3 linked regions of the Rattus norvegicus genome follow. The main gene of each other region encodes a partner of the protein of the gene in region 3 in a complex. Links are inferred from orthologs where the notes say so. Each region holds a gene or a part of one and is shown on either strand. Other genes may lie near its edges. The genes, in order: Sema4d, Arhgef12 and Plxnb1.

Evidence for each region.
Region 1: the proteins of Plxnb1 (region 3) and Sema4d are in contact, whole or in part, in a crystal structure (PDB 3OL2), measured with the Homo sapiens proteins. The link is inferred for Rattus norvegicus from reciprocal best matches to the Homo sapiens genes PLXNB1 and SEMA4D. Residues at the interface, in NP_001123554.1 of Homo sapiens: Leu80, Pro81, Pro82, Glu87, Arg136, Pro137, Gly138, Asp139, Thr140, Tyr142, Gly178, Glu202, Lys205, Ala207, Gly209, Arg210, Ser212, Glu213, Arg235, Arg242, Asp359, Val360, Asn361, Ser362, Leu367, Pro368, Thr371, Tyr375, Ser379, Asp380; in NP_001358123.1 of Homo sapiens: Glu99, Lys100, Gly101, Phe158, Tyr179, Phe181, Leu182, Gly183, Ser184, Arg198, Tyr201, Ile203, Glu208, Val240, Leu264, Arg265, Thr266, Leu267, Gln268, Lys270, Thr347, Gln350, Ser351, His352, Thr353, Asp388, Gln392, Lys395.
Region 2: the proteins of Plxnb1 (region 3) and Arhgef12 are in contact, whole or in part, in an NMR structure (PDB 2OS6), measured with the Homo sapiens proteins. The link is inferred for Rattus norvegicus from reciprocal best matches to the Homo sapiens genes PLXNB1 and ARHGEF12. Residues at the interface, in NP_001123554.1 of Homo sapiens: Glu2129, Lys2131, Val2132, Thr2133, Asp2134, Leu2135; in NP_056128.1 of Homo sapiens: Phe82, Gly83, Leu84, Thr85, Val86, Ser87, Gly88, Asp89, His127, Val131, Lys135.

What each region holds. Positions count from the first base shown.
Region 1 is NC_086035.1:13,646,032-13,656,023, forward strand, and holds the start of Sema4d (semaphorin-4D precursor), read left to right. Parts: upstream 1-4,749; 5' UTR 4,750-4,929; coding exon 4,930-5,035; intron 5,036-6,478; coding exon 6,479-6,624; intron 6,625-8,017; coding exon 8,018-8,080; intron 8,081-9,717; coding exon 9,718-9,816; intron 9,817-9,992. UniProt on the Homo sapiens protein: Cell surface receptor for PLXNB1 and PLXNB2 that plays an important role in cell-cell signaling. Regulates GABAergic synapse development. Promotes the development of inhibitory synapses in a PLXNB1-dependent manner.
Region 2 is NC_086026.1:52,249,897-52,259,269, forward strand, and holds part of Arhgef12 (rho guanine nucleotide exchange factor 12), read right to left. Parts: intron 9,209-9,373; coding exon 9,041-9,208; intron 7,733-9,040; coding exon 7,645-7,732; intron 6,991-7,644; coding exon 6,904-6,990; intron 6,793-6,903; coding exon 6,713-6,792; intron 6,451-6,712; coding exon 6,217-6,450; intron 4,352-6,216; coding exon 3,878-4,351; intron 3,114-3,877; coding exon 2,797-3,113; intron 1,485-2,796; coding exon 1,415-1,484; intron 918-1,414; coding exon 907-917; 3' UTR 1-906. UniProt on the Homo sapiens protein: May play a role in the regulation of RhoA GTPase by guanine nucleotide-binding alpha-12 (GNA12) and alpha-13 (GNA13). Acts as guanine nucleotide exchange factor (GEF) for RhoA GTPase and may act as GTPase-activating protein (GAP) for GNA12 and GNA13.
Region 3 is NC_086026.1:118,630,333-118,639,705, forward strand, and holds part of Plxnb1 (plexin-B1 precursor), read left to right. Parts: coding exon 1-38; intron 39-162; coding exon 163-263; intron 264-541; coding exon 542-674; intron 675-920; coding exon 921-1,077; exon of another isoform or gene 1,078-1,081; intron 1,082-1,353; coding exon 1,354-1,462; intron 1,463-1,570; coding exon 1,571-1,679; intron 1,680-2,084; coding exon 2,085-2,759; intron 2,760-2,934; coding exon 2,935-3,057; intron 3,058-3,237; coding exon 3,238-3,360; intron 3,361-3,665; coding exon 3,666-3,759; intron 3,760-3,845; coding exon 3,846-4,018; intron 4,019-4,162; coding exon 4,163-4,314; intron 4,315-5,505; coding exon 5,506-5,611; intron 5,612-5,782; coding exon 5,783-5,919; intron 5,920-6,286; coding exon 6,287-6,463; intron 6,464-6,651; coding exon 6,652-6,787; intron 6,788-6,969; coding exon 6,970-7,212; intron 7,213-7,826; coding exon 7,827-8,003; intron 8,004-8,078; coding exon 8,079-8,227; intron 8,228-8,870; coding exon 8,871-8,971; and 3 more. UniProt on the Homo sapiens protein: Receptor for SEMA4D. Plays a role in GABAergic synapse development. Mediates SEMA4A- and SEMA4D-dependent inhibitory synapse development. Plays a role in RHOA activation and subsequent changes of the actin cytoskeleton.

The sequences.
Region 1 (9,992 bases), on a different chromosome or scaffold from region 3:
CACAGCTCCGTGTGGACAATGTGTGTGTGTGTGCACACTCAACACAAGCATACACAGGGCCCTTAAGGCCATTAGCATTCTCAGGCCTGAGCTGGGTACTCACAACTCTTTGACGGTGCCCTGGCTGGGGTTGGTCCTGTTTTCAGTTGCAGCCCCTGCTGAGATTTCCAAGATTTGCTGGAGGGGAAGAGCTGCCCTCTGACAGGCTGCAGGGAGGGGCCTCAGCTCTTTTTCCTGGGTTTAGAGTAGGCAGTCTTGCCTCTTAGTGTAGTAATGGGGCCTTCATGACCCTGTCTCTAATGGATGTCAGGCCCTCTTCTGGAGGGCCTCAGCTGTCACAGGGAGACCTGAGCTTCCCCTGGGGGAAGGGTGTTGGATCCCTTTGTTTAAATTTAAACACTGAGAGTGAGGTCCTGAACTTGGCATTCGAGGATGCCTGTGGAGCGTTCCTGGAAGGCACTGTGGCAGCCTGTCTGTGTGGGTGTGGCAGCCGCATTGTTTAAAGTGAGTTTTAAATTACACCAAACAGCGAGTTGTGTAGAGAAAAAAAGGAAAAAGAGAAAAAGAAGTCAAAGCCTAACAGTCTTCTCCCCCTTCCCTCTGCTTCTCAGTTCTCCCTCTCTGGCCTCTTGCTGTCCCCAGGGGCCTGTTTTAAAGAGTAGCAGGGTGTAGGCAAGTCTATCGCCCTCTAGTGTCTGCCCATGAAATTACTGTGCTCTGGATGATGGGGTTGGGTCTGCAGGGCAGGAACCCATAGCTGAAGTGAGCACAGCATGGCGGAGCTTGTTCTGTGCTTCAGCCCGGGGCCCCAGTGAACCCCACAGTTCCTACTTTTAGTCCAGACTGGCAGAGAAGTTTGCTGGCTACCACTGAAGGCCAGAGGTGGCATGGGATCCCCTGGAACTGGAGTTTCAGATGGTTGTGAGCTGCCGTGTGGGTGCTGTGAGAAGGAAGGCAGGTTTTCCATCTACAAGAGCCACAATTGCTCTTAACCTCTGAGCCATCTCTCCAGCCCCAACTGGTGCATTTTATACCTTCTATCTGAGGGCAACCCCAGTCAGACGACACTGGGCTGGAGAGATGGCTCAGCGGTTGAGAGCACTGACTGCTCTTCCAGAGGTCCTGAGTTCAAATCCCAGCAACCACATGGTGGCTCACAACCATCTGTAATGAGACCTGCTCTCTTCTGATGTGTCTGAAGACAGCTACAGTATACTTACATATAATAAATAAATAAATCTTTAAAAAACTGTTTTCCTTAAAGAATTGTTTTAACCTTGTATCCTGACTTTTTCACTCCAGGCACAAGCTGAGGCCCCTTGTCTTGCAACTCCACCCTCCCACCCTACCCTCCTAGTAAATGTATACCATCCCCTCCCCCAAACCCTCATCCCCTTTAGTGACTGAGGATACACACTGGGCCAGGATAGCACATTCTGATGACATTTCCACTATGGGCCATCCTCTCTTCCCCTGGGGCTCTAATTGCTCCATTTTGAATGTGTTGGGTCATTCACTCTTAGACTGAGGGAGGAGGCTGGCCCAGCTTCTTAGCCCCGTTGCTCAGGGCCCAGCCTTTGCAGCGGATAGAATGAGACCCTTACTCTTTTATGTTCACCGAAGGGCTGTTAGACCTCCAGACTTCTGGTCTGCGTTTCAGATCGCAACATCGAGATGAGCTTAGGGTCAGACTGCTAGTGTTTTTATTATCACAGTTAGCCTAGTTCGTGGGATGGTTTCCGCGTAGTTCCCACTTAGATTTCTTTGGCTAGAAGCGGGGTAGCCTACAAATGTGTCGAACGGGGCAGTCTGCCCACTGAAGGAAGAAAGCTCAAGGTCTTGTGACCTAGAATGAAGCAAGAAGCCACCGAGGCAGGAGGGGGCCAGGCTGGGTGGGTGAACGTGCTTCTAGTGTCCGGTGCCTTCCTTGGTCTCCCATCCACGTGTTTGGCTAAGTGAGGGAGTGTGTAGCATTTCATCCTGGGTCTTGGGGATGGGTGTGTCTGGTGACACTCACAGTTCTGAGAAGGAAGAGGTTAGGGTTCTGTGTTGTTGCTGCTGAAGATGGACTTTCGGGGTAGCCCTTCTACACCCTGCCCAGCATGTACATTCCTGTATTTCTCAGCTACGTGGGTCACCGAGTCTGTGAACCACCCCCTGCCCTTTCACCTTATGGTGGGGCATCCTGACTAGCGGCTTTGTGCGTCTGCCAGCTCACAGGTTCAGGGCACTGTGTTGGGTCTGGTGTTGGCCAAAGCCCTTTTGGTCTGTTAGCCCCTGGTTCTGGACTCTTCTTTCTTGGTGTCTTACTTGGCCATGCCCCACTTCTTTACCAGGACTTAATTAATTAATTAGTTTGTTGTTAATTAATTTTAGTTAATTAACAAAATAAATAATTAAATTTTGAGCCAGGACCTCACTGTGTAACCGGGGCAGGCCTGGGACTCACTATGTAGATAGAAACCTGCCTGCCTCTTCCCCAGAGATCTGGGATTAAAGGTGTACACCGCCACATCTGGTACGCCTGCTTGTTTGTCTATTTGAGACACAGTTTCAGTTGTGGCCCTAGCTGGCCTGGACTCATATGTAGACTAAACTGGCAGTGAACTCACAGAGCTCCCTCTGTTTTATGATTAAAGGCCTGCACTGCCACCAAATTAATTTTGGAAGAACGGCCTTCTTTCTGCTTTGTATTTTTAAATTTTATTTCTGTAGCCCAGTCTGGCCTCAAACTATGTAGCTAAGGATAACTCTGAACTTCTCTTTCTTCTGCCTCCACCTGCTGGTGTATCTCTGTGCCAGGATTTATGAAGTTCTGGGAACTGAGCTCAGGGCTCTGCGCGTTAGAAGCAAACATTCCACCAGCGGAGATATCTACCCAGCCCTGAAGGGATGTTTTATTAAAAATGTTCAAGCGGGCTGCACAGCGGAATGCGACTCCCCTACCTGCACGACCTTGGCTGGCGACCTTGCCTGGTGTTCAGCCTTCTCTGTTCTCCCCATCCTCTGCTTCCATCAGGGCGATCTGAGGAGGGAAGAAGCATCCATCCCATGCTACCTGATCCTCACAGCTGGAACCGCGTGCACCCAAATCAGAGGGCCTCCTGCCTGTCACAGCTCCCTTGTTCCAGTCATCTTCAGTTTCTGCCAAGCCCAGGGTCTTCTGGGCTTAGGCCTGTGTCACCAGTGGCTCTGTACCCAGGGGATGCTTAAGATCAGGGTGACATTGCTGTCCTGGCTTTCCTTAGCACTGTGGATGCTCAGTGTTGGAGGGAGTTGGTGACCATGGCTTTAAGAGGATTCTCATGGCTCTTACGTGGCAGGGTGCACCATGAACTTGCTCAGCAAAACCCAGAGTTCATAATTGTCTGGGTCACTGCTGTCTGTTTCCCAGTCACTGCCTCAGTTCTTGGCTTCCTGCTTTCTGGTTGGATCCGGGTAGGAGTCACCCCTTGTGCTTGGCTGCTGTGAATTTCCAGGGTAGGACAGGGACCAGACCTACCCTTGTTAAACCATTGCCTATAACTGGAGTCACCTCTTTGCATGTCACCTGTACCTGCTTTTCAGCTATAGCAATAGTTAAGGAAAACGGTCAGCTGCACTGGCCTAGAATATTCCACTCCTTGAAGGATGGAGGGGCTTGGGCTCTTTAAGAAGCTTCCAAGATCCATTGGGATAGCAGCCAGACAGCCTGTCAGGACTGCACTTGAAGACAGGAAAGGATAGGGCCCTGAGTGGAGATGCAAGAACAGCTGGCCCTGCCCTCTGTGGGAGGAAGGGTGGGGCAGGGGAGGCCTGGCAGGTGGGTAGATGCTGTGCCAGCATTGGGTCCACATCTGGAGACTGTTGTGCCCTGTCAGCTCCCAGTAACCACACCCGAAGGTGAGGCCTATCTGTGTATCAGGGCAGCTGGTGTGATTCAGCGCTGAGCTCTGCATCCTGGGATCCTGGTGTGTGCTGGGCCTCAGGCTTGACGGGGGCAGGTGAGGACAGGGACAGAGGCCCAAGAGACCCATGGCCACAATTCCATCAGACAGCCAAGCCTGGTCTGGTCTTCTGTTTCTTGTTTGGACAAATCAGAGTTAATTGCTAGTGTTTCCATGGTAATTAACGTCTTCCTGGTGAGACAGGAAGAGCTCGGGTTGCCTCCTGGGCTAGCTGGGTCCTTTGTTGTGGCTAGCTACTCCTGCAAACTGAGGCCCTGAGGGCATGTTTTCAAGGGTATGAAGGTTAGTGTGTGCTTACATTACATATGTGTGTATGTATGTATGTATATATGTATGTATGTACATGTGTGCATTTGTGTATGGCTACACGCACTTGTGTGTGTCTACCCATGCATGTACATTCTTACATGCATTCTCAGGCACGCGCCCTGTCCTGCAATCCTCTGATGTTTGATAATTTTCCTGGGTTAGCGTGTCAGAAATTGGGAAGAGAGCCCTCCAGGGAAACTGAGACCTATATTATTCCTTTCACTTGTGGCATGTCACCAAGCACCTGGCTGTCCCTCTAGCCAGTTATTTCCATATTGGTGTGTTTTAGCCTTGTTGTCTCTCTACAGGATCTGGCTGGCTGGCAGCCCCACAAGTCCTGGATGCCTTCCATGTCCCTCAGCGGGCAGGTTCAGACAGGATAGGCCGTAGGAAGGGATGGAGGGGACTGAGAGCCTTCTGAAGCTGCCGTGACCTACCGTCTCGTCATTTCCTTCTCTTGCAGGTCGGAAGGGAACAACGCCTTTGGCATGAGGTTGTAAAAGTGGCCTTTGCTAACCTGACATGTGGGGACTCAAGAACCCCACTCCCTATGGGCTCCAGTCTGTGCTGCTGGCCCCAGCTCTGGGGCTCTGAGAGGTTCCTGCTGCTACACCACAGCAGCCCACTGCCATTCATGTGTGTCTGTTGCTGAAGGCCTCGGTGGCCCCTGCCCATGAAGATGTGTGCCCCCGTCAGGGGGCTGTTCTTGGCCCTGGTGGCTGTGTGGAGGACCGCGGTGGCATTCGCCCCTGTGCCTCGGATCACCTGGGAGCACGGAGGTGAGTGTGAAAGCCGTAAGTGCCCGCAGCTCTGGAGAGTGTGGGGGTCCCTGCTTTAGATGTTGTGTGTGTGTGTGTAGGGGGGGGTGTCTGTCAGGGCAGGTTTAAGCTGCTGAGATGTCAGGAGGATACTGTGTGAGGAGGAAGCCCTGGTGGCTGCTTCAGGCCCCACAGCAGGTGCCAAACTTGAGTTAGGATATGTGACGTCAGCAGCTCCTAGCTCACTGGATGCTGACTACATGCCCGGCACTTGAGCTGCACTTCTGAGATTACCACAGCCTCAGAGAGGGCTCCAGGATTGGGGTGGGGTGGGGTGGGGTGGGCACTGGCTGTTCCACGATCCAGGGAGGGAGCAGTGTGAGGATGGAGTCCAGGAAGTAAAGGGCAGTAAGAATGCCCACCTCAAAGCCACCTGGACACTCGGGATTCATACTCATAGGCAAGTTCAGAACTCACTGATGCCAGCGTAATGCGGAGCTCAGCATCACAGCAGGAACCTCCACACTCAAGATGTAGAGGCAGGAGGGCCGTGAGTTCCAGGCCAGCCTGGGCCACATAGCGAGACCCTGTCTTAGACAACTAGTATCGTTATTTCCTTCCCGTGGTACCGTGTTCCTAAACTGTTGCAGGTTCAAAAAAAAAAGTGTCGTTTGTCTCTGGAAATCACTGGTAATGACTAGAGATTGTTTTGGAGAGACATGTGTTCTCCCATCTTGACTTTTCTTTGGAAGTTCTAAATCATTATATCTTTCTAAACCTAAAGTGGAGGGTTAAAAACACATTAAAGAGGTAGAGTGTAGACCAGGTGCCTTAGTAAGGGTTTCCACTGCTGTGAGCAGATACCATGACCAAGGCAACTCTTGTAAGGACAGCGTTTCATTGGTGCTGGCTTACAGGTTCAGAGGTTCAGTCCATCATCATCAAGGCAGGAGCACGGCAGCATCCAGACAGTCATGGTGCAGGAGGAGCTGAGAGTTCTACATCTTCATCTGAAGGCTGCTAGCAGAATACTGGCTTCCAGGCAGCTAGGATGAGGGTTTTAAAGCCCACAGCCACAGTGACAAACTTCCTCCAAAAAGGCCACACCTCCTAATAGTGCCACTTCCTGGGCCTTGCATATTCAAGCCACCGAATCAAGTGTCTGTGATGTGCTGGAAGCCTGGTGTGAGGGGTCTGGAACTCCACAGGACCTGGGAGACAGAAAAGGAGATCGGGGTATAGCCTAGGGATGCCTGCCAGCCTCAGGGCCCCAGCCATGGGCTAGCTCCTCTCTTGCACTTGGTGGCTGCATTGAGATTACCTGGGGGTCCTGAGCTCTGCTCCATGTTTAGCAGCATCATGCGGTCCCTAGGACAAGTCTGGTTCTGACAGTGAGGTGGGACCGGGTGCGTACAGGCTCAGGGTGACTCCTGGGTTTCCCCCTCCCCGCTTTGCTGCCCACAGAGGTAGGTCTGGTGAAGTTTCACGAGCCAGGCATCTTTAACTACTCTTCCTTGCTGATGAGTGAAGACAAAGACACTCTGTATGTGGGTGCCCGGGAAGCTGTCTTTGCAGTGAATGCGCTGGACATCTCTGAGAAGCAACATGAGGTATGTCCTGCAACTTCCCAGCCATAGCCCTGTGGGTGGGGCTGCCTTGCTGTCCCCCATCTCCCCACGCCCTTCCCCCCCCCCCCATTCCCAGTCTGCACAGGTCTGGCTCGACCTCCACCAGGAAGCTCAGCTAGGCTCTTTCTATGCTATGTCAGAGCTGTGTTGAGTAGTATGCTATCTGGTCCCCTTTAAAAGGAGGAGAGAGTAACTGAGGCTGAAAATGACTAAAATTCATTCTGTGCATGTGTCAAACTGTCAGGAGAAAAATTAGGTCGAGAAGGGTCTGAAGGGATGGCTCAACAGGTAAAGACATGTGCCACAAAGCCTGATGATCTGAGTTCAATCCCCGCTCCTCCCAACACACACCACATACCACACACACACAGACAGACACATACCCCACACACACACATACACACACATACACACATACCACACACACCCCACACATACACACATACCACACACCACACACACACACCACACACATATACACACACACCACACACATACACACACATACCACACACACATACACACACATATACATACCACATACTACCCACTCACCTCCACATACCACACACACACACATACACATCATGCCACACACACATACACACCACATATACACACCATACCACACACACATACACACCACATATCACACACACACACACGCATACACACACACACACACACACAAAGATAACTCCCACAAGCTGTCCTTGCACCTCCCTTGTGCACACTCACACGTCCACATCTACACATAGTAAAAATGTGATAGAAATGCAAAATAACAGATGAAAGCCCCCGATTTTGGATAGGATTTAATTGGTTATACTTTTATTATATGGAGTCAGGGATCATAGGATGACAACCTTGGGCGTCTTTCCTTTGGTGCTGTCTACTTTTATTTAATTTTTTTTTTTTTTTGAGACGTGGTCTCTTGGTCTCTGGAGCTTGTCAAATAGGCTGGCAGCCAGCAAGCCACAAGGATCCTCCTGTCTCTGCCTCCCCAATGTCCAGTGCCACAGCTGACCTTTTCACATGAGTTGTGGGGCTCAAATTGAGGTCCTCGTGCTAACTGGCAAGCACCCACTGAGCCGCCTGTCTCTCCTGCCCTCTGCTGTTTTGTCACAAGCTCAGGGCTGTGTTATCCCTGCTGGTTTAGGGATGATGGTCACAGAACATGAGGAAGCCCTAGGGATGACTCTGAGATCTCAGCCCCTACCCGCTCCCTGAACGTCTTGTCTTCCTAGTCTGGCTTTCTTCTGGCTGCAAACCAGTGTGCCCTGAGCTGTGGGGTGCCTTCTGTTGTCTGTTTTATAGCAGTTCCTTTCCCAGTGGGGCTGCAGTGAACCGGCTCTGACATGTTCCCCCCTCACAGGTATACTGGAAGGTCTCTGAAGACAAAAAATCCAAGTGCGCAGAGAAGGGGAAATCAAAGCAGGTGAGCACAAAGAGCTCGCCCGCGCACACGCACATTTCGCAGTTATTTGGATCTTTCCCAGTACTGTGACTTCTTTCTGCATGCCCACCTGGTGTCACGTGATTCTGGTGGGCTCGGTCCTGTGGCAGCTCTCCCTGAGCCCCGGCGTCAGGATGGATGCTCTCGGGCCAGTGCTCTGTCTCCTCAGCTCTGGAGAAGCCTGTTCAAATGGCCTGGCATTGTGACTACAGGATACGTCCTGTAGTTTCTGCTGCCCGCTAGGACCTGGTGTGAAATTGGCCTCCCCTCTGTGTTTCTGGGCCTCTCACACATCTGCACCAGCCGTGTGAGGCCTAAGAGGTTTCAGGGATTTGATGGGCATCAGAAATGAACGGTGTGTTGTTGTTGCTTGGTTTTGTTTTGTTTTGTTGTTTTATTTGGTTTGTTCTGTTTTTGTTTTGTTTTTGAATTTTGTTTTCGGATATCCGTGTGCCCACTCCGGGAGACTGAGCCTTGTATCCCTTTTCTCAGGAGCTCTGGGTACCCTCTTGTGCCCACCTGGTGCCCCACAAACGTCCCAGGTGTTTTTTTTTTTTTTTTTTTTTAAGATCACAAATGTTTTTAGATCACAAGAGCCAGGTTGTCACTGATAACGATCTCGGTGGCTCAGCGATGGCAGAGTTTGTCAGTTCTTAGCTGATTTCAAAAACAAAGATTCAAACAGCCGCTCACAGTTTGTTTTTTCTAAGTTAAACTTTCTTGGCCGAATGCTCACTAAGCACTTTTCACCGCCCCTGCTGGTCTCTAATTGGGGTGTTAACTGGGGATCTGAGGCAGGCAGGCAGGCGTTATGATGGGATGACTGCTGCAGGCAGTCTGTGTAGCCAGTGAGCGGATGCTTTACACCGCAGCGCGCACGTGGGGACCCACAGTGAACTTGGTAGGGAGCCCTCCTGTGAATGATACCCCGTCCATTTGAAAACAGTTGTTGGGGGGGACAGACAATAACAACAACAACAACAAAAAAATCCTTTTCCAGTTTGAGATCATTTCAGGCTATAGCCCATGCACTCTAAGCACTGCTCTCTTAAAATAGCACGTAGGTTCCAAATTGTCATCTTTGTTTTCCCACCGGGCCCTCGGGGATGCACACTTGGCCGTCCCCTTGGGTCCAGCCTCTCTCTCTTAGACCCTGCTAGTCGCTATTTCTAGTTCCGTGCTGGCGACAAGAGTATAGGGTGGGGTCCCCAGGAAGGCCGAAGGAGCCTGTACAACGTCTGTTTTGGTGAGATGGCCATCAGAAATGAACGGTGTGTGTTCAGCTAGGGTAACTACATGGCCATTTGTAGTGGGTTCCCCGGTACAATTTGAGGGTCAGCTCTGGTTTGGTCTTGGCTTTGTTTGGTCGCCAGAGACAGGCTGACCATCTATTAGGGACAGAGCTAAAGTCATTCCTGGCACCTGTTCTGCCCGTGGACCTCAGAGATAGAGTTCACGTTGCAGAGCCTGGCTCACGGTGCAGTGCGCCCCTTCTGTAGGCATAGACAGACCAGTCTGAGCAGAGGAGAGAACCGGGCAATGGATGCCTGGCCTTTACGACGTGGACACGCGGATTCTTTGGTGGGTGCCTGTTAATGGTGTGTGTGTTTCCCTTGCAGACGGAGTGCCTTAACTACATCCGAGTGCTGCAACCGCTTAGCAGCACTTCCCTCTACGTGTGTGGGACCAATGCGTTCCAGCCCACCTGTGACCACCTGGTAAGGTCACAGCATATTCCTTTCCTACGTGCTCACCTTCAGCCTCGCTAGGGACTAAAGCAGAGCCAGCCTCTCCCACTCTTTCTGCAAAGCACGAGGACTAAGAACTGTACAGTCGGACTGACTTCCTACAGCATCCGTAGCCCCATTCCTCCTGACCAGTGTTCTGTGAGGCC
Region 2 (9,373 bases), about 66 Mb from region 3:
AGCACCCACCACCACTGAAGCATTCCATTTCTTTGTTCCTATTTCCTGCTCACTGTGCAGGGAATATTTCATACAAGTGCCAGTCAACGCGTAATTATACAAATGCAACAATACCAAGAATAACAAATTTATAATCAAGAAAATAAAAATTTGTTTTCTTCTCTCCCAAAGCCCAACTATCCACAGAACAGACAACAACAAGGGATACACCCATTTTCAAGTGCCTGCCATTTAGTGTACTGAGGACTCTTGTTTCCTGGGGTGGAACCCTAGAGCTGTGTCATCCACACACAGGAGTCATGCGGCACCTCTGAGATGACCCTCAGGAAGGCAGCCTTCTGGACAGGAGGGCGGGGTTACAGGTTAGTGAGGGCCAGGTAGTCCTCTTTCCTCTTCTGCATTGCCTGTCTACTAACCTCTCCATCCCTGACCGACCTGACCTTGGCTTCAGGAACAATTGATCCTTGGGTGTGCTAAATACAAAGGGCAAAAACTCTCACTACTCAATTAAAAACAAAACAAGGCAAAGTAAAAATTAAAGTGTGCTTTCAAATATGGAATGAAGTCAAATAAATACATCTGATTTTCTCTTTTTCTTACCTACGTACAATTTCATATCCTACACCCAAAGCTCTATACATTTGGTTTTTATTCTGAATCAAAATGCATTTCTGATAGTGAGGAGAGGAGAGTGAGAGACCTGACATTCCCTCACTGACAGATGTGTGCAGCTGCCAGAATGAAGAACTAGTCCCACTGGGGGCACCCTGGGGCGTGGCTGAGCCCAGGTGGTTCCAGGCAGATCCTCTGTCACACTCTCTTTGTGTCCACTGGAGCCGGGATGTGGTTGATACAGGGCCGACATTCAAAATCCAAAACCTGCAGTCACCTCCAGGACACGGGGCTCTAACTTTTATCTGAGAAGGAAGAAGACGTGGAAACTCAATTAAGAGCAAATTAACATTGTGAAGAACATGTCTTGTTCACTTCTTCAGAGATCACTTGTTCAGAGATGTAACCTCAAAGCACACAAGCAGAGAGTATGAACTGAACACCGGCTTAGCCTCAGCCAGGGGCCACGCTGCCCTTAGTGTCAGGAGGGCAGAGTGCAACAGGGCTCCTGGGGGGAGAAGGGGCAGCGGTAGCAGCCTGGGTTCTACTGAGTTTGGGGTTTACCAGGCTCCTTCACTCTGCCTTCAGCTTGGAAAGGCGAAGAGAGAGACAAGGGTTGGCACAGGGACTGACAACCACAGCTCTTCTGAGAGCAAGAAGAGCAGAGTTAGCAAACTTGATACGTGATGCTTAGAAACAAGCTGATTTTTAAGGACAGGAATAAAATCTCGGGTTTTCATGTTGAAAAATAATAAATTATCCAATGTACTGTTGGTCGGGATGAGCCCACCATTTCACATACCTGAGACCTTGTCGGGGAGGGCTGAGCCAGCCAGCCTTTGGCAAAGAAGGGTGTAACTTTCCTCCACCTTCTGTAACACCAAAGATTTCCATGGGGATGGCACAAGGAAATAAAATTTAGTTGATGGTAGGAATGAAAGTTCTCCTTGTTAAAGGCACGTGACCCCCAATTTCGACATTAACAATAACCACTAAAGATTCTGTTAGCTAGGAGAGGCCAATTTCCTTTGAATAAGTGACCTACCTCTCCACGTAAAACACTGGGGAAGCAAGGGAAGGTGGTCTGCTCACGGCAGACGTCACCCAGGAAAGGCCCATATCATGTGACAGATGAACACAGAGGCCGCCTAGATACCCTGCCTTGCTAGCCACATAATGACATATGTGAAATTAAACGAAAAAAAAAAAAATCTGTTACATGGAGCTGAGAAAAGCTAAGGGAGACAAGCCCTGAGCTAAGGGGCCTTTTTTAGCCCTGACTGATGCCATGAAGAAGAGGAAGCTCTGGCAGCTGCGTCGTCCAGAGCCGATGCCTTTACCTCACTTTCCCTGGTTCTACACTACGGTCTCCAATTTTATGTTGTTACGGAGTGTGTGTGTGTGTGTGTGTGTGTGTGTGTGTGTGTGTGAGAGAGAGAGAGAGAGAGAGAGAGAGAGAGAGAGAGAGAGAGATATGCTTTTTCTTTTTAGTTGTTGTTATTGTTGGATTTTATTCTGGTTCATTTGTCTTTTTTGACTTGCTTACATGTTTAGTAAAGAGAAAGAAAAAGGGCACAGAGCTGAACAGGTGGGGAGGTGGGAAGGGTCTGGGAGAAATTGGGAGACGGGGAAGAACCATGATCAGAAGATATTGCATGAAAATAATATATTTTCAATTAAAAAAAAAAGAGTCCCCTTCATAAAAACTAGCACAGTAATGTCTTTCACTACCAATTCCCAAAAGCTTCATTTGGGCTCACGTGTTTTGGTGACAAAAGCCACTGGAATCAATTTTTCCCTGCCATGTACCTGTAACTGACTGACGGGCTACAACAGTCACAGCACTTCCTGGCCTTGGTTCCCAGCTGAGAGCCTGCCCACCTCAGTCCGCATCACCCACAGGATGGAAAAGACTGCCCCGGCATTTGGGATCTTAAAACGTGGAGACCCAAAACCAGGAACCAGGTACAAACCTACAATGTTCCTGTTCTTACGATCTGTCACAAGACAAACGTCAACGCCAGCTTTCACTCAGGCCTATTCATGATTAATGGTTAAAGAAGATGAAAACGGGCAGATACAGAACCCAGACCACCTTTGGACACAGGATCCCATCAATCCAAACTTGTACTCTGCCAACTGTGTTCTTAGGACCAAGGGTTCGGAGGCTGAAATGGGACGTACCTTTAAGTGTTCCAGGTCAGCCTCTATTTTATGAATGTACTCCAGGATTTGGCTTTGTGAATCTGTCCAAGCAGAGGGACTCTGGACCTCAGAGCAAGCATCCTCCACAGCTCTCCAGCGTCGCTGGACCAGGAATTCTGGGGTGGATGGTGAAATCGCCCCCTCGGAAATGGCATTCTGAGGGGAGTGTTGCTGCTGGTGGCTGGAGTCCACAGAAGGGAGGCCTGTCACAGGCTGCAGGGTGAATGAGGAGGCAATCTCCTCATCTGTGGAGCTCTCCTGCACTGCATCATAGCCATCAAGGATCAAACAGTTTCCTATTGGTTGACATAAGACAGTTCGATGAGATTAGCACTGCCACCAGAGTGAGGCCAGAATGACAACTTGAAAAGCTACCATGGTGGAGGAACCGTCAACTCTCCAGTTTAGTTTTAACTCTACCAGAATTTACTTCGGATTAAAGCCAATCTTAGCGAACTTTCACAGTAATTTCTAAATAACTTCATATTAGTCAGAGTTTTAAGAGTCTAACACCTTAGCCACAAAGTCCTTACATGAACATGAATACCACTCCCCTGCCAAACACCCTTTCCTGGGCTGCTTTCTCCTCCCCGCACTCCCTGACTACAGAAGCATGCTCTGCAGTGCTCGCTGCCGCACACTGTACCCAGCTATCCACACAGCCTTTCCTGCACTTCAGCTCCTGCTCAGACCGGCCACCATGTCTGCTCTCACTACTCTCTACCCTGGCTGCAGCTGGCCTTACTTGCTTCCTAAAGCTTCTGACCATCTGACGTTTATCACTCACTTTTTTATTTACCATCCCTCTTTCCCCTCAGGCACTTAAGCTTCTTGGGAACAATGACATTTCTGGCATTTTTCACTGTCCAATCTCCCAGCCCCTATGACAGTTTCTGGCAAAGAATAGACTATTGGTTGTATAAAGAAACACACACACACACACACACACACACACACACACACACACACACACACACACACCCCTGAGATACTGAAGCGACCTCCATCCCAGCATATAAGACAGTTTCCATGACCACAATCGAAGTTGAACGTCACTTGCCTGAGATGCGCACATTAACATCCTCCTCTTCCTTTCTGACTGCGCCATCACCTTCAGATGGATTATCATCGCTATGTGCTTCACGGGCATCAAAAAAGTGCTCTCCACTGTCATCCAGACCCCCCTCTGGCTCTGCAGTAGTAGGCACCTCTGGGGTCAGGAGCATGTGGTCCATTTCTATGATGTTGCTTGCCTGGCTGTCTTGGGAAGCCAGTATCACCGAATCCTGTACAGCACAGGACTCAGTTGAAGTCCGTGGACTGTCACAAGTTGCAACATCACCAGTTCCAGTTTTAAAAGACATCTGTCCTTCCCCGGCATGACAAGCCTTAACACTTTCCAAGTCCGGAATGCCACTGTCCGCCTGTGCCTCTTCAGAAGCCGGTCTGTATCTTGAGAAGGACCGCCAGTCTTCCTGAGTAGTCTTCTCCGTGAGCCCCAACTGCTGAACCAGCAACTGCTTCAACAAGCCCACTGGAGATTTAGGGCAGGAAGGGGAGAAGAGGGGGAAAGTGAAATCTGGCAGCTGAGTTTCCAATCCCCTCTAAAACTAAGGACACATCTTAATATTAATCCTACACAATCATTTTTTGCCTTGAAACATGCAATCAAAAATCTATCTTCTACACACTTAACATTAAAATACGGCTGACAAGAGTCGTGCATTTTGAATAGGAGGCCTTCTCCGAGAAGTCCCAAATCTATCTGACATCAAGCATGTGCTCTGCTTCAGCTGGGCCAGCAAATACTTTTCTCCTCAAGAGCAGACTCTGTATTTACAGGCATTATTTTTTCTAACATTTTCTCTCAATGGTGAAGGCAATGAAATTGTACAGGAAATCCCAATGATATGGTAGTAGTTTGTGTAAGTTCCAAGGTAAGTATTCATTAGGTTTTTGTTTGTTTAAATTACCTTACTAATGGCATGGCTTCTTTAGGATGTTAAAACTAAGATCCAATTTACCCTTGGGCTAGTCTTAGGCCAAACATCTACAGATCATGTCAGTTCTAGGACCAAGCCATCAAACTACCAGACATCAGTAAGTCTGTCTCCTCAGGAGAATGCAGAATAAAGGAGATTTTAAATAACTATAACTGCCTGATTCTACCACAGGCTTACCTTCTGTTTCTCCAACAAAGAGCTGGGGTCTAAGAAAACCTTCCCCTTTCTCAAGCACTTTAATCTCTACCCCAAATGCTAGCCCTAAAACTTCATGTCCCACTACCACTTCCCTGGGATGGTTTGCCACTCCTCATCTGGAGCTCCTAGTCCACACTGTAGAGGAAAGGCGGTGAGGGAGGCAGGATGCACAGTGGTCTGTGTGGCTCTTACTTCCTAGGAAAGCACTTAAACTGTCAGCAGACACCCCTTTCCTCTGCCTCAGCATCCACAGAGGTCAGCTGCTCTCAGGATGGAGAGCTCCTTATGCAGTGCTTGTTCTAGCCTGAACCTAACGACTGCAAGAGCTGACTGTGTAAGGACGCTACTCCAAGCCTCTTTCCATCCAAATCTCCGAGCAGCTCTCAGTCACATTAATACATTTTTGTCCGTCAGTCATAACTACCTTTAAAAAACCTCACGTGGTTCTCTGTAGCTGGAGCAACTATTCTTGGACTTTCTCTACCTCAGTGTATCTGCGAGATGTGCTATCCTCCTGTCTGTAATAGTGGTTCCCAACAAAGCTGGAGGAGGTAGGGAGGGGCAGCAAACAAGGGGTGTGTGTGTGTGCACATGGGCGCATGCATGTTAGAAGCTGTCAGAGGAATATTCAATCTCCATACAAAATGCAGGGCATGTGTAATATAAAACTAAAACAGCTCCTAAGAGCCCTGGCGTCTCTGTCCATCAAACACGGTATTTAGAACTCCCAACACTGAGACTTCTCAGCTCATCTTCCTGACTCCTAAACCTGTCTCCTGTGCTCGTCAGCTGACAGTGTGCACAGGCTCACTGCCTGGAGCGCGCTGTGGTCCTGCCCTACCAACAGTTCCGTCTGAACGGCTTTATTCTGCACATTTCTCCTGATCTTAATCGTACTCAAACGACAGGCATATGTCCTTCTGCTTCCACCTGCTGCTTCCCTTCTCTGACCACGCCACCCAGATAGATTTGACACATGCACAAAAGCCTCACTATTCCTGGAATATTTGCTTTTAAAGTGGCAGTGGGGACCCATCATCTTCCCAACAAGACTGTAAATTTCTTGAGGAAAAAAAAATGATAGGTTAGACTTTTGTGTATTTTCCATAAAAATGCATTGCTTTTTCTCTCTAAAGGTTTCCCAAAACATCATATGACTCTGGTACTTAGTAGCTTCACAAGTTATGAAAAAACTTACAATTTCTCAGTGCGTCCAATGCCCACCGCTCCTCTGACACGGGCAAGTGTGGATCTGAGATTGTGACTGGATACCCGCCATCACCTTCCTTGAAGGTCCCATTTGCATGCTGCTCCTTTGCAAACTGTGTTGCGGTCACAAAGAGATGTTCTGCCTCTGATTTGCCAGGGGTATTCATTGAATGGGACTGAGGTTTTGACGAAATTAAGGGAGATTCTAATCCCAAAACTCTGTCTGTTCAGTGGAGCAGAAAACGTAGATTATTCCTAAACAGACATCTCATTTTCAACATGGAACATTTATGTCGGGGGCAGAGGGAAACCACAAAAGCTACAGGCATCATCCGCTGGGGAGACACACAGCACAGAGCAGTGCTATGCTGGCACATGGGAGGCTCAGAGGCAGCATGTGCTGACATGCATGGTTGGGGCCGGCACAGAGACTTCCTTTTAATAGGTAACGTGTTACACCCAGTGTACTCGTCTATGTGGCTTACCTGGACTCTGCAGACCAGCGACAGAAAGATCATGGTGCTCCACTTTTAACTTGGCTGGTTCTTCTTCATCATTGTCTCCTCTATAAAAAGAGGAAAAAGAAAACAATCCCGGAGCTTTAGAAGATGCTCAAACGTCATGGCATTCAAGTGAACTGCTCACGTCTTCCCGACAGGAGCATAATGGCACTCACTCGCAAGGTGGCGGCTGTGGGAGGGGAATCGGCTTTGTGGACTGCTCCTTCACTGATGCGGCCATCCGACAGATGAGGTCTTGCCAGCTTCAGGGGGTGTGAAAGAGATGCAGAGCACAGGAGGGAAGCAGGACACCCAGTAAATACTCTCAGAACCAAAGAGAGAATACAAAACCAAACACCGTGTGCTGCCAGAGCACATCTTTAGTTTGGCACACTCTTGTTGGGATCCTAAAATATACTTTAAAGAAAATCCAACATGAACACATTACCCATTTAGAAGATTAACTTGGAACTTCCAAAATTTACTTTTAAGTAGAATAAAATAAAAATGAAAACTTCAATCTCAAAAGAAACAAATTCTTAGAGGAATGTTCCCAAAAGGATACAAGAGGAAGTACTTTATTTCTTATAATAGAAAGTCTGTGGGCTGAATGGTGGCTCAGTGGTGAGAGCCTGCTGCAGTTGCAGTGGATGGCCATTCGTTCAGTTCCCAGCACCCACCCAGCGAGCTCACAACCACCTGTAACATCGGCTCCAGAGGCTCTGATAGCCTCCTCTTCTGGCTTCCGCAGGCAGCTACACCTACACACACACACACACACACACACACACTCACACACACACATACATACACACGCACACACACTGAAATAAATCTTAAGAAAACAAGTATGTGGAACATTTATTTTTCAGATAATTCAGTATCAATTAGAAAGGGTAATTAAATCTGATACATACACCGTCTTTTCAGAAACCGTCTGTGCTACCAATTCATAAATTTGGGCTCCATTATCTGACATGGAGATGACGAATAAAGCTTTGTTATCTAGAAAAGAAGAAAACAAAACTTACTCTACTACTGTGGCCAAGCCATGACCATACAGGCATTAACATTCTGCATCTTAATTTAGATAAAAATTATGTATGTTCACTTTGAAAAGCTTGACCAAGTTTATAAACTTAAATTTTATGCAATTTACTGTAAACTACATTGTAACTTAAATAATGTTTACAAAAGTCAACACAGAACTTAATTAGAAACAAAAATAAGTCAAAGTTCAAATTACTTGAACTCTAGGGATTGAAGTGAAGAGAGATCATGTTAATTTGGGACAGAAAAGCAAGGGAGGGAGGGGATAAGGGAGAAAAGTAGGGACATGAATAGAAAGTTGATCTAGTCAAAACTTGACATTATAGACATACATGAAATTCTCAAACAATAAACATAACTGACTTCATAAAAGTTCTGTCCTGTAAAAACTAAGTCCTGCCCAAGCATAACATGCTTTGGAGTTCTAACAAGCCTATAATTCTGAATGAAAATGTTTATATGAACACACACACACACACACACACACACACACACACACACACACACCTATACTACTGAACCCAATTCTATCCCTTGTTTTAAACTGCTATATTTCTATATTGTTAAGAATGTTTGGGAAACACTGCAGGAAAGCATTTGCAAATTTTGCTGTCATGAAATTAAGTTGTATAAAGGAGCTCATCAGAATACAGTTAAACTGTGGCTTACCAACTTAGACTGATAGATAAAAAATCAGAAAACAAATTCAGGGCTGGAAAAATGGTTCAATAGTTAAGAGCCCTAGGTTCCAACACCCACATGGCAACTCTGTTTACTCCAGTTTTAGGGGAGCCCATGCCTTCTTCTGGCCTCCAAGGGCATCAGACTTGCACATGGTACCCAGACATATATGCAGCCAAAACACCCATACACATAAAATAAAATTAAATTAAAACAAAATAGTCAATTCCCCCACCTCTTCAATTTTCACGGTTTTCCAGCACACAAACACACCATTCACTGGCAGCCATGTCACTGGGTTACCCCTAAAGCACTCACAGCTTTCTTGGTACTTACCATCAATTTAAACATAAAACAAATACCAAAGTAATTGATGTACTTAAACTTTTAAATGCAGAAAACCAGTGAGGCAACCTTGCTGTCTCAAATAATTTGGAGGTGTAAACTTCCAATAGACAATTCCATTCACATTTCCACGTATAAACAAAACCATGGGTGAAATTCCTGCACAGCTTCGCACTGAATCCACAGCTGAGCTCGCATCCCGTGGCAGAGCTCGCATCTAGCGGCAGCCGCGCTCACCTGTGGCCACCTGTCGGACCAGCACTGTGCTGAGCTTAATGACAGGACTGAAGGTGTGCTTGCTGTCAGCTGTGGAGGCCAGGATCTTGCTGTGGCACCTCAGTACCAGCCTGTCGTCCTGCTTCTGTAACAGCACAAGAATGTCTTCCAGCAGCAGTGTATACAGATCTGGAAATAAACACGGACAAACTGCTAAGTACAGAGATTTAAAGTAATCCACAAAGGAAATTATTTCTGGAAAACCTAGCTAACTTTAAAAAACAGATTTACAAACTATCTTCTTTAAATTTCATTTTTAATTGTTCATTTTAGTATGTTTCATGGGAGCATCAT
Region 3 (9,373 bases):
GTACCTTTGAGCATCTGTATGTAGCAACTCAGACTACAGTAAGTCCTGGACAAGGCCAGGGAATGACTGCTGGGAGGGGTCGCTGGGCAGGAACCGGGACCCATATGTGGGTGGGGCACTGGCTCTCGGATTGCCAGCCCCAGGTCCTCTTTGCCGCCACAGCTTGTGAAAGTTCCTGTGGCCCCTTGTGCTCAGCACCTGGATTGCGACTCTTGCCTTGCTCACAGGGACCCTTATTGCGGATGGTGTGTGCTCCTGGGCAGGTTAGTGTTAGCCCGACCCAGGCTTGTGCCTCTGTAAGTGCCTCGTACAAGATTCCTCACCTTGTCCATTGACCCTCATCCTCTAGCCTGTGGGTAGCCAGCTCCCAGCTCTTTATCCCCTGCCCAGGGCTTTGGTCCACCATAACAGACGCAGGAGCACTGTTATCAACTCCGAGTGAGGGTTGTGCCCAGGGAGGGCCTCAGGACTAGAGGTGTGTCTGCTGTGTGAATTCTCGGTGGCTGCCAGCGGGTCACAGTTAGCTGCTGTTGCTTCTTAGGTGTAGTCGCCGGTCGGAGTGCTCAAGGGCCCAGGGCCCAGAGCAGTGGCTGTGGAGCTTCCAGTCGGAACTAGGCTGTCTTCGAGTGGTGGCCGTGAGCCCTGCCAACATTAGTCGGGGAGAGAGGAGGGAGGTGAGTGACCAGAGTGGACAGGGCCCCAGAGGGGAGAGCTGTGGAGATGGACGGATGGAGACCTTGGATTTTTTTGTGTCGTTGCATCAAATGCCACATGTCCTTGATTAGCCATTTCTCTTGGGCCTTGAATTTCTCTAATCTGCTATCAATCAAGGCGTTGGTAAGGGATGCCAGTGCCCTTACACGAGAGTCCCTAACCTACTATGCACTCGTGCCAAAGTGTGCCCTTGGCTTTCTCGGTAGGTTTTCCTGTCGGTGCCAGGCCTGCCATCTCTCTGGCCAGAGGAGTCATATTTCTGCTACTTTGGGGACCAACAGAGTCCTGCTCTACTGACCAGTTCTGGTGTGATGTGTCCCTCCCCAGACCCTAGTGAGGCTCCAGTGCTGCAGAGAGGAGCCGGTGGGTGAGAGAAGGGGCCAGCCCCGGACCTGGGAGCCCCACCCTGCTTCCATCTTGCTCTAAGAGGTCTTACTGGGATGAGAAATGACTCCAGAAATAGCCTTGGATGTGCTCCGAGTCCCCTGATTGGCTCCAGGACCCTGGTGTTTGTGCTGTGTCCCGTGGATTTTGTTCTCTGACCCTAGTTCCTGTCTCTATTTGGGGTGCCAGCCTCATTCCATGTGGATCCCCAGCCCTCCGCACTCTTCAGTTCTGGCTTTCTCCCCAACTTTGCAGACCATATCTCCGTGAATGTGGAGCTCAGGTTTGGTGCTGTGGTGATCGCCAACACCTCCCTCTCGTTCTATGACTGCATGGCGGTTACCGAGTTTTTCCCGTCTGCACCGTGAGTTCCTTAACTTACCTGTCCCCAGCTCTGGGCTCCCTTCTGTCAGTCTGTTTCATGACTGACTGACTGACTGACTGACTGACTGACTGACTGCACTGTATGCAGGTGCCGGGCCTGTGTGAGCAGCCGCTGGGGCTGTAACTGGTGTGTGTGGCAGCAGCTGTGTACGCACAAGGCCTCGTGTGACTCTGGGCCTATGGTGGCAAGCCAACAGGTTAGTGGGACTCCAGGATGAGGCACGTTGAGGGTGGAGCTCGGGGTTCCCGGGGCAAGGGTTTTCTACTGGCCTGGGATCTCTGTGCCTGCCAGCCTCCCACGAAGCTCTGTCCTGAGCACCCCAGCTGCTTTGTGTGGCAAATTCACTGGAGAATGGCTGCTTGTCCATCCCATCTGTTTTGGGAGGACATTTAAGCTGAGAGGCAAGAGGTGTGGCCTTGGTTCCCCACCTCAGCACAGACCTCCCCCCCCCCTGCCCTCTGTGTTTCTGCGTTAGAGAATTAACGGGATGTTTTTGTTTCTCTTTTCCTTGGTCTTTCTCCCTCTTAACATACCCTTGCCTGCCTGCTCCTGCACTTGCCTGCTGAGTGGCCCTCCTGTCTGTCTTGGCCTTCCCCTTCAGAGCCCACTTCTCCCCCTAATCCCTCCTGCAAGGGACGTACTCACCCCTTTCCCACTCACAGTCCCCAGAGCCACAGCCACTCCAACTCCCAACACCTTCCCAGCAGAGCCTAGGGCTCCCTCCATAGCCTCAGATGTCCTACCCGGGGCCAAGCCTTCCCGGCTCAGCCTCTGGGGCCCATGGGCAGGCCCTGGCCCCATACTTTCCCCTACCTCCACAGAGTCACCTCTCCATGAGAAGCCCCTCCCTCCTGAGCCCCCTACCACACCTGGAACCACTGTCCCTGCCCCCGCTGACCTGGGACCCTTGACCACGCCTGAGGACCTCTTGGCCTCCTACCCATTCCCCTCAGATGCAGCTGCAGTATCCCCCACAGAGCCTGGCCCTGAGACTCTGCCTTCCATGGTAGCTCTGGATCAGCCCCCTGGCACTGCTCCAGCCACCCTTTTCCCAGGGGCCACTGGCTCCATGAAGCCAGTTCTGGATTGGCTCACCAAAGGAGGCGGCGAGCTGCTCGAGGCGGAGGAGTGGATGGGGGGTGACACGCCCGCCTTCTCCACTTCCACACTCCTCTCAGGTGATGGCGACTCAGCAGAGCACGAGGGCCCTTCTGCTCCCCTCATCCTCCTGTCCAGCCTCGACTACCAGTACGACACCCCCGGGCTCTGGGAGCTGGTGAGGTCCAGCCCAGGAAGGAGGCCTCGGGAGGGGAGGGGAAGACACAGCCATTTGCTCACCCTGGGATTCTCCTTTGGGAGGGTGAGGACAGTGTTGCCATGGAGCCAAGCAAGGCAGAGGACTGAGGAGGTCAGGGTGGGAGCCACAGATGCCTCGCCCTTGGTGCCTGCAGGGAGAGGTGAATCAGAGGGTGAGCTCCTGCCCCTGTGTGGAGAACGTCCAAGGCTCCTTGCTGATACCGGTCCACGTGAAGCGGGAAGTCCAGCTTCGAGGCAGGAACCTGTGGCTCTTCCAGGTATGTTTGCCTATCCAGCTAACAACTTCCCCTTCAAGCTGCTTGGCTACTCAACAGAGTCTGCTCAGGTCTTAGAGAGCAGGAAGAAGCCATCCCCAGCCCCAGCTTTCTCTCCCGACTTGGGCTGCACTGTGGCAGGGCCTGTATTGCAGCCTACCTGAACATGTCCTCTGCCCCCAGGACGGCCCAAGGAGCAGTGAGTGTGTGCTGGTGCTGGAGGGCCTCGAGGTGGCAGTGGAGGCTCAGGTGGAGTGTGAGCCACCTCCAGACACATGGTGCCACATCAAGTGCCAGCAGCACCAGGTATGGAACATGCAGGGGTGGGCACAGGCCGGCCGTTAGCCTCAGATGCCGTGAACTTGTCGCAAGCTGAGCTTTGACAGTAGATGGAAGAACCCCAGCTGGGCCTCGTGGGGTCCCTGTCACTCGGCAGGGGGTTCTGTTCTCTAGTTCCATCACTGATCTCCTGCCCTTTCACCCTGGGATCCCTGAGTTCCAACTCTGACCTGAGACGCTGCTCCCCTAACTGGTCAATTTGGTCTTTTCTCTGAGCCTCACCCCAGGCCTGGCCCAGACTCGAAGCTCTGACTTCTCTCCTCTTTTTCCAGTTCAGCTATGAAGCTTCAAAGCCAGAACTCCAAGTGGGACTGTTCCTGCGCTGGGCGGGTGGTCTGCGTGTGGACAGTGCCGATGGGCTACATGGTAGGCCACCCAGGGACCACAGGGCAGGCTGCTGGTAGCGGGGCCCCTCGAGGCTCCGTGTTACATTTCGTCCCCGCTGTCTCCAGTGGTATTGTATGACTGCTCTGTGGGACATGGGGACTGCAGCCGCTGCCAAACGGCCATGCCTCAGTACGACTGTGTGTGGTGCGAGGGGGAGCACCCGCGCTGTGTAGCCCGAGAAGCCTGTAATGAAGCCGAGACCGTGGCTACCCAGTGCCCTGCACCTCTAATTCACTCGGTACGTCCCCTCTCTCCATCACTGCCACTCTTACAGGGAGGATGTCTGTGCCGTGGGTGCACAGAACTCAAGATGGGAGGCCGGGCTGCCTCAGACCACAGAGGCTGACAGGTAGGTGAGGTGAATGTTCTTGTCCTGGAACAGGTGGAGCCGCTGACTGGACCTATAGACGGAGGCACCCGTGTCACCATCAGGGGCTCCAACCTGGGCCAGCATGTCCAGGACGTCCTGGGCATGGTCAGAGTAGCAGGAGTGCCCTGTGCGGTCGATGTTGGCGAGTACGACGTCTCCAGTAGGTGAGCTGGTTGGCCCAACGTGGGAGGGCACTGGCTGCATGGCTTCCCATTGAGGACCTCCTTCCTCCATGCGTCTGCCTGCCTCTCTCCGTCTTTGATTGTGGTGTCAGTGCCTTAGTGCTGGGTTAGCATGGCCTGGAACTCTGGCTTGCTGTGTATATCTGCAGAGCCTTGACCCAGGCGCTTGGGGATCATGTTAGTGTATCGGGCAGAATCACTGCCTGGAGCCGGCTGGGGGCTCTTCTTGGATGTACTACGTCTCCAAGGCCTGCCCTGACTGGGCTCTCTCAGGAGAGGCAGTGGCGGCTGCCCTCCAGCAGGCCTCAGGTGAATAGAGAACATTCTCCAGGAGATGCTCATAACCAGCAGGACCCACACTGGCACAGTGTCAGGGTAACCCCGCACTGTACCCTCAGGAGGAGCTGTTGCAGAGCCCCATAATTCATATCTTAAACGGGGGATATTTTGTGGGAGCCTTCACTCTTCCTTCAGGGGTAACTGAGAACTTCCAGAACCTCTACACTGTTAAAATTCTAGAACCGTCAGACTTAGGTGATTCAGGAAGTGATTTATGAAGTGTAAAATGTATAATGGCTGGAGCCTCTCCCGCTAGTTCACCACTCGCTCTGCCTGCTGGTATTTGTATGACCGTGACAATGTTAACCACTGTAGACTTAACATTCTGGGAGTTCATGTGCCCCAGGCTTCTGTTTTCTGGCTGAGAACCAGCATTTTCTACATCTGTTCACATCTGCCTCCCTTCTGACTAGAGGCTTTTTAGGAATTTTCTGTTTAGGATCAGATTAAGTTCCCATCACTTCGCAAGTGGGCGCTGACCATACCGTGGTAGGGGAGACTTGGGGTGGCTGGTGTGGTCCTCTCACTCGCTCCTCTGCTTGACCACAAATCAGCTCTCCAGGTCTCCTTTGTAAACCTGTGTCACAGCAGGGAAATACACTCCTTGTTGGAGGGTGTGCCTGAATGACTGAACCAGGAGTGTGGCTTCTCGGATGCCATGGCTTGCCGGTGTGCCATAATGGGTTCCTTTCAAAGTGAGAGGGGGTGCTGACACATCTTATGGGGATAGGGACAGCAGAACACCTGGCAGTGTGGTGGGGAGAGGATCTGCCAGGTCTTTGGAAGGACATCCGCAGCCTGGCATTCCCTCACTTGCCTGTCTTGTGCCCACAGTCTTGTGTGCATCACTGGAAGCAGCGGGGAGGAGGTGACAGGCGCAGTGGCAGTGGAGGTACCTGGAAGAGGACACGGTGTCTCAGAGTTCAGCTTTGCCTATCAGGTGCCTGAATGCTAGACCACTCCAGCTGCCAGCAGGCCTCGCCCTCTGTGGACGGCTCAGGCTATTTAAGGCTTCATAAGGCTCCCCATCCTAGGGCTCCCTGTTTGTCTGAGGTGCCCTGGCTTCTGTCATCCTGATTTTGTCTGTCTTTCCCCATCTTTTTCCCCGTAGGACCCAAAAGTACTTTCCATCTTCCCAGTCCATGGCCCTAGAGCAGGAGGTACCCACCTCACCCTGCATGGTTCTAAGCTCCTGACTGGACGGCTAGAGGACATCCGTGTCGTGGTTGGAGACCAGCCTTGCCACTTGTAAGGGCTGATTTCTTTCTTTTTTTTTTTTTTTGGTTCTTTTTTTCGGAGCTGGGGACCGAACCCAGGGCCTTGCGCTTCCTAGGCAAGCGCTCTACCACTGAGCTAAATCCCCAACCCCCAAGGGCTGATTTCTTGTTCTACAAAATCCACACACGCCAGGGTGGAGATGGGGTACTGAGAACAGTCAGTGTGGAATGGGTTAATCTGCCCCACAAGAACATTTTAGCCAGAAACCAGGGCTGTGGTAGAAGTCCAGTTTCTGGAGCTACACAACGGGGACTTCGGTGGGCAAGGAACCTCAGTGAGCCAGATTCGAGCAGGTGCCTAGCTCCTGGATCTGGCCTATCTTCTACCCTCCACCCAGGCTCCTGGAGCAGCAGTCTGAGCAGCTACACTGTGAGACCAGCCCAAACCCTGTGCCTGCCGAACTCCCAGTGATGGTCTGGTTCGGAGCCACTGAACGGAGGCTTCAGCACAGCCAATTCAAGTACACAGCAGACCCCAACATCACCTCTGTGGGCCCCGCCAAGAGCTTCTTCAGGTGGGGGGCTGAAAGCATGTCTGGGAGGTCTTCGAAGTTCTCATCATAGGGGAGGTGGGGTGCTGGGAATGGGGACTTTGACCACCTTACTGTTGACCAAATGGGTCATGAGTGAAATTTGGGGTTGCAGCTGAGCTGGCTGGGTCTGAGCTATGCAAATCACACATGACTCCTGGGCTGTGTTTCAGTGGAGGACGAGAGATATGGGTCCGAGGCCAGAATCTGGATGTAGTACAGATGCCAAGAATCCGAGTGACTGTGATCCCAAGAGTACCACAGCATGGCCAGGGGCTTGGGCAGAAGCACCACGTGGTCCCTGAGAAAGTATGTGGGCCCAGAGCCATTGTCAATCAAATCGCATACCTATGAGCCTCTCTGCTCGCACCAGGCTGGCTATCTCTCCCCTCACCCAAGAACGGCCATGGGTTGTTGGTACCAAAGGAGATGCTTCCCAGCTTTGCTCAGCCTCACGTCTCACGCGGTGCCTCACTTGACCTCCTCTACAGATCGAAGAGCCATGTCTCGTGAACTCCTCCCACCTCATCATGTGCCGCTCGCCTGCCCTCCCTGGCCCGCCCCAGGACCCTTGGGTCCAGGTGGAGTTTATCCTTGACAACATGGTCTTTGACTTTGCTACACTGAGCCCCACACCCTTCTCCTATGAGGCTGATCCCACCCTGCGTTCCCTCAACCCCGAGGATCCCACCACGCCATTCCGGCACAAGCCAGGGAGTGTGTTCTCTGTGGAGGTAATACATCTTCTTGGGCTTTTCTCTAGGAGAACAGTATGTGTATGTTGGAGAGGTCAGGGTTGAAGGGACAAGCTGGGAGAATATGAAATGGTTGGTACAGCTTAGGAGCCAGCAGGCCCTGCAGGGGGTTGACTGGTGGCCTGGGTCCCTGGGCTCCATTAAGGCATCAGTTTGGTTAAGTAAATGGCTTGGCATATGGGTAGTGTGGTACACATTAGGTAACAGGCTGATCCTCATTTGGCAACTGGCCTACGTGGGTAACTCGAGACCCTTTTCATGATGTGCATGGTGAGTAGTCCGTGCATGTGTAGGCACATGGACAGGTCACAGGCAGCTGATCCAACAGCACCTCGATGAGGGTAACTCCGTTAACTGCCCAGGGTGTGGGGAACTCTTTTAGGTTCTCCAGCGTTTCAGCTGTGAGAAGAACGGTACTCGAGCACAAAGGAGTTATGGTGAGCAGACCATATGGTGAGCAGAGGTGGTCTAAAGGACACCTCTGACCATGGGGTCCACCCGCAGGGGAATCACGGCTAACAGATGGTCTCAGGGCCATCCCTCTCACGTTTGGGGACAGAGGCAAGAAACAAACCAGTGACCCGATGTTGCAGGGGGAGAATCTGGACCTTGCCATGTCTAAGGAAGAGGTGGTGGCCATGATCGGAGATGGCCCCTGCGTGGTGAAGACACTGACCCGGCACCACCTGTACTGCGAGCCCCCTGTGGAGCAGCCCCTGCCACATCACCATGCCCTCCGTGAGGCCCCCGACGCTCTGCCGGAGTTCACGGTCAGCGGGCAGGGCCTGGGCAAGGCTGGCACCATGATATCTGGGGCCCTGGCTCACGGGTAGCTTCCCACACAGGTACAGATGGGGAACCTGCGCTTCTCCCTGGGTCATGTGCAGTACGATGGCGAGAGCCCTGTGGCTTTTCCTGTGGCAGCCCAAGTGGGCTTGGGAGTGGGCGTGTCTCTCCTGGCTCTGGGGGTCATCGTCATTGTCCTCATCTACAGGTAGGGTTGGCCAGAGCTGAGAGCAGGGCTCTGCAAAGTGTGTGTGTGTGTGTGTGTGTGTGTGTGTGTGTGTGTGTGTGTGTGTGTGTGTGTAGAGATCTATTAAGATTTATTTTTATCTTATGTGCACTGGTGTTTGCCTGTATATACTTGTGTGTGAGGATGCCAAATCCCCAGAAACTGACAGTTGTGAGCTGTCGTGTGGATGCTGATAATTGAGAGCAGAAGCCACTAAGCCATCTCTCCAGTCCCACTCAGCAAATATTTTACATCAGGGATCGGACCTCTGGAAATGGTTGCAACAGGCCTGGTGGTCTCCAGCAATACTCAGTTCAGCTCTTGGGCCATCAAGTATAGCTGAGTTCTGACAACCCTGCTTTTAAAAATAGTTTGTGGACCCTATACAGCATGACCCGGGTTTGCTGACCCTATACAGCATGACCCGGGTTTGCTGACCCTCAGGCTGAGTGATGGATAGATGTGGTTTGATGGGAACGAGACAGGATGGATTGTTCTGGGTCAGGCTGACTTGGGCATGGTCAGGCAAGGTTGGGATTGGCCTGGAGTAGAGTTAAGCAGGCCTGAACCAAGTTGAGCCTAGAAAGGACTTTGGCCTGCTGACATTTCCCTTCTGCCTTGGTAGGAGGAAGAGCAAGCAGGCCCTGAGGGACTATAAAAAGGTGCAGATCCAGCTGGAGAATCTGGAGAGCAGTGTGCGGGACCGCTGTAAGAAGGAGTTTACAGGTGCGGCTTCTAGAGTGGGAGTAGCCTGGGGCTCTGCCTACAGCTGCCCTGCTCACATGGGATCCATGGACACTCTTCTACTCAACAGACCTCATGACGGAGATGACTGATCTCACCAGTGACCTCCTTGGCAGCGGCATCCCCTTCCTTGACTACAAAGTGTATGCTGAGAGGGTCTTCTTCCCTGGGCACCAGGAGTCACCCTTGCACAGGGACCTCGGTGTGCCTGACAGCAGGCGACCCACTGTGGAACAGGGGCTGGGGCAGCTCTCCAACCTGCTAAACAGCAAGCTCTTCCTTACCAAGGTGCGCTCCCAGCCTGGCTGCCCCATCCCTCTGTTCCTGCCTGCTGGCCTAGTCTCGCTGTCTGTTTCTGAACCTTCCCCCCTCTCACACTCTCCC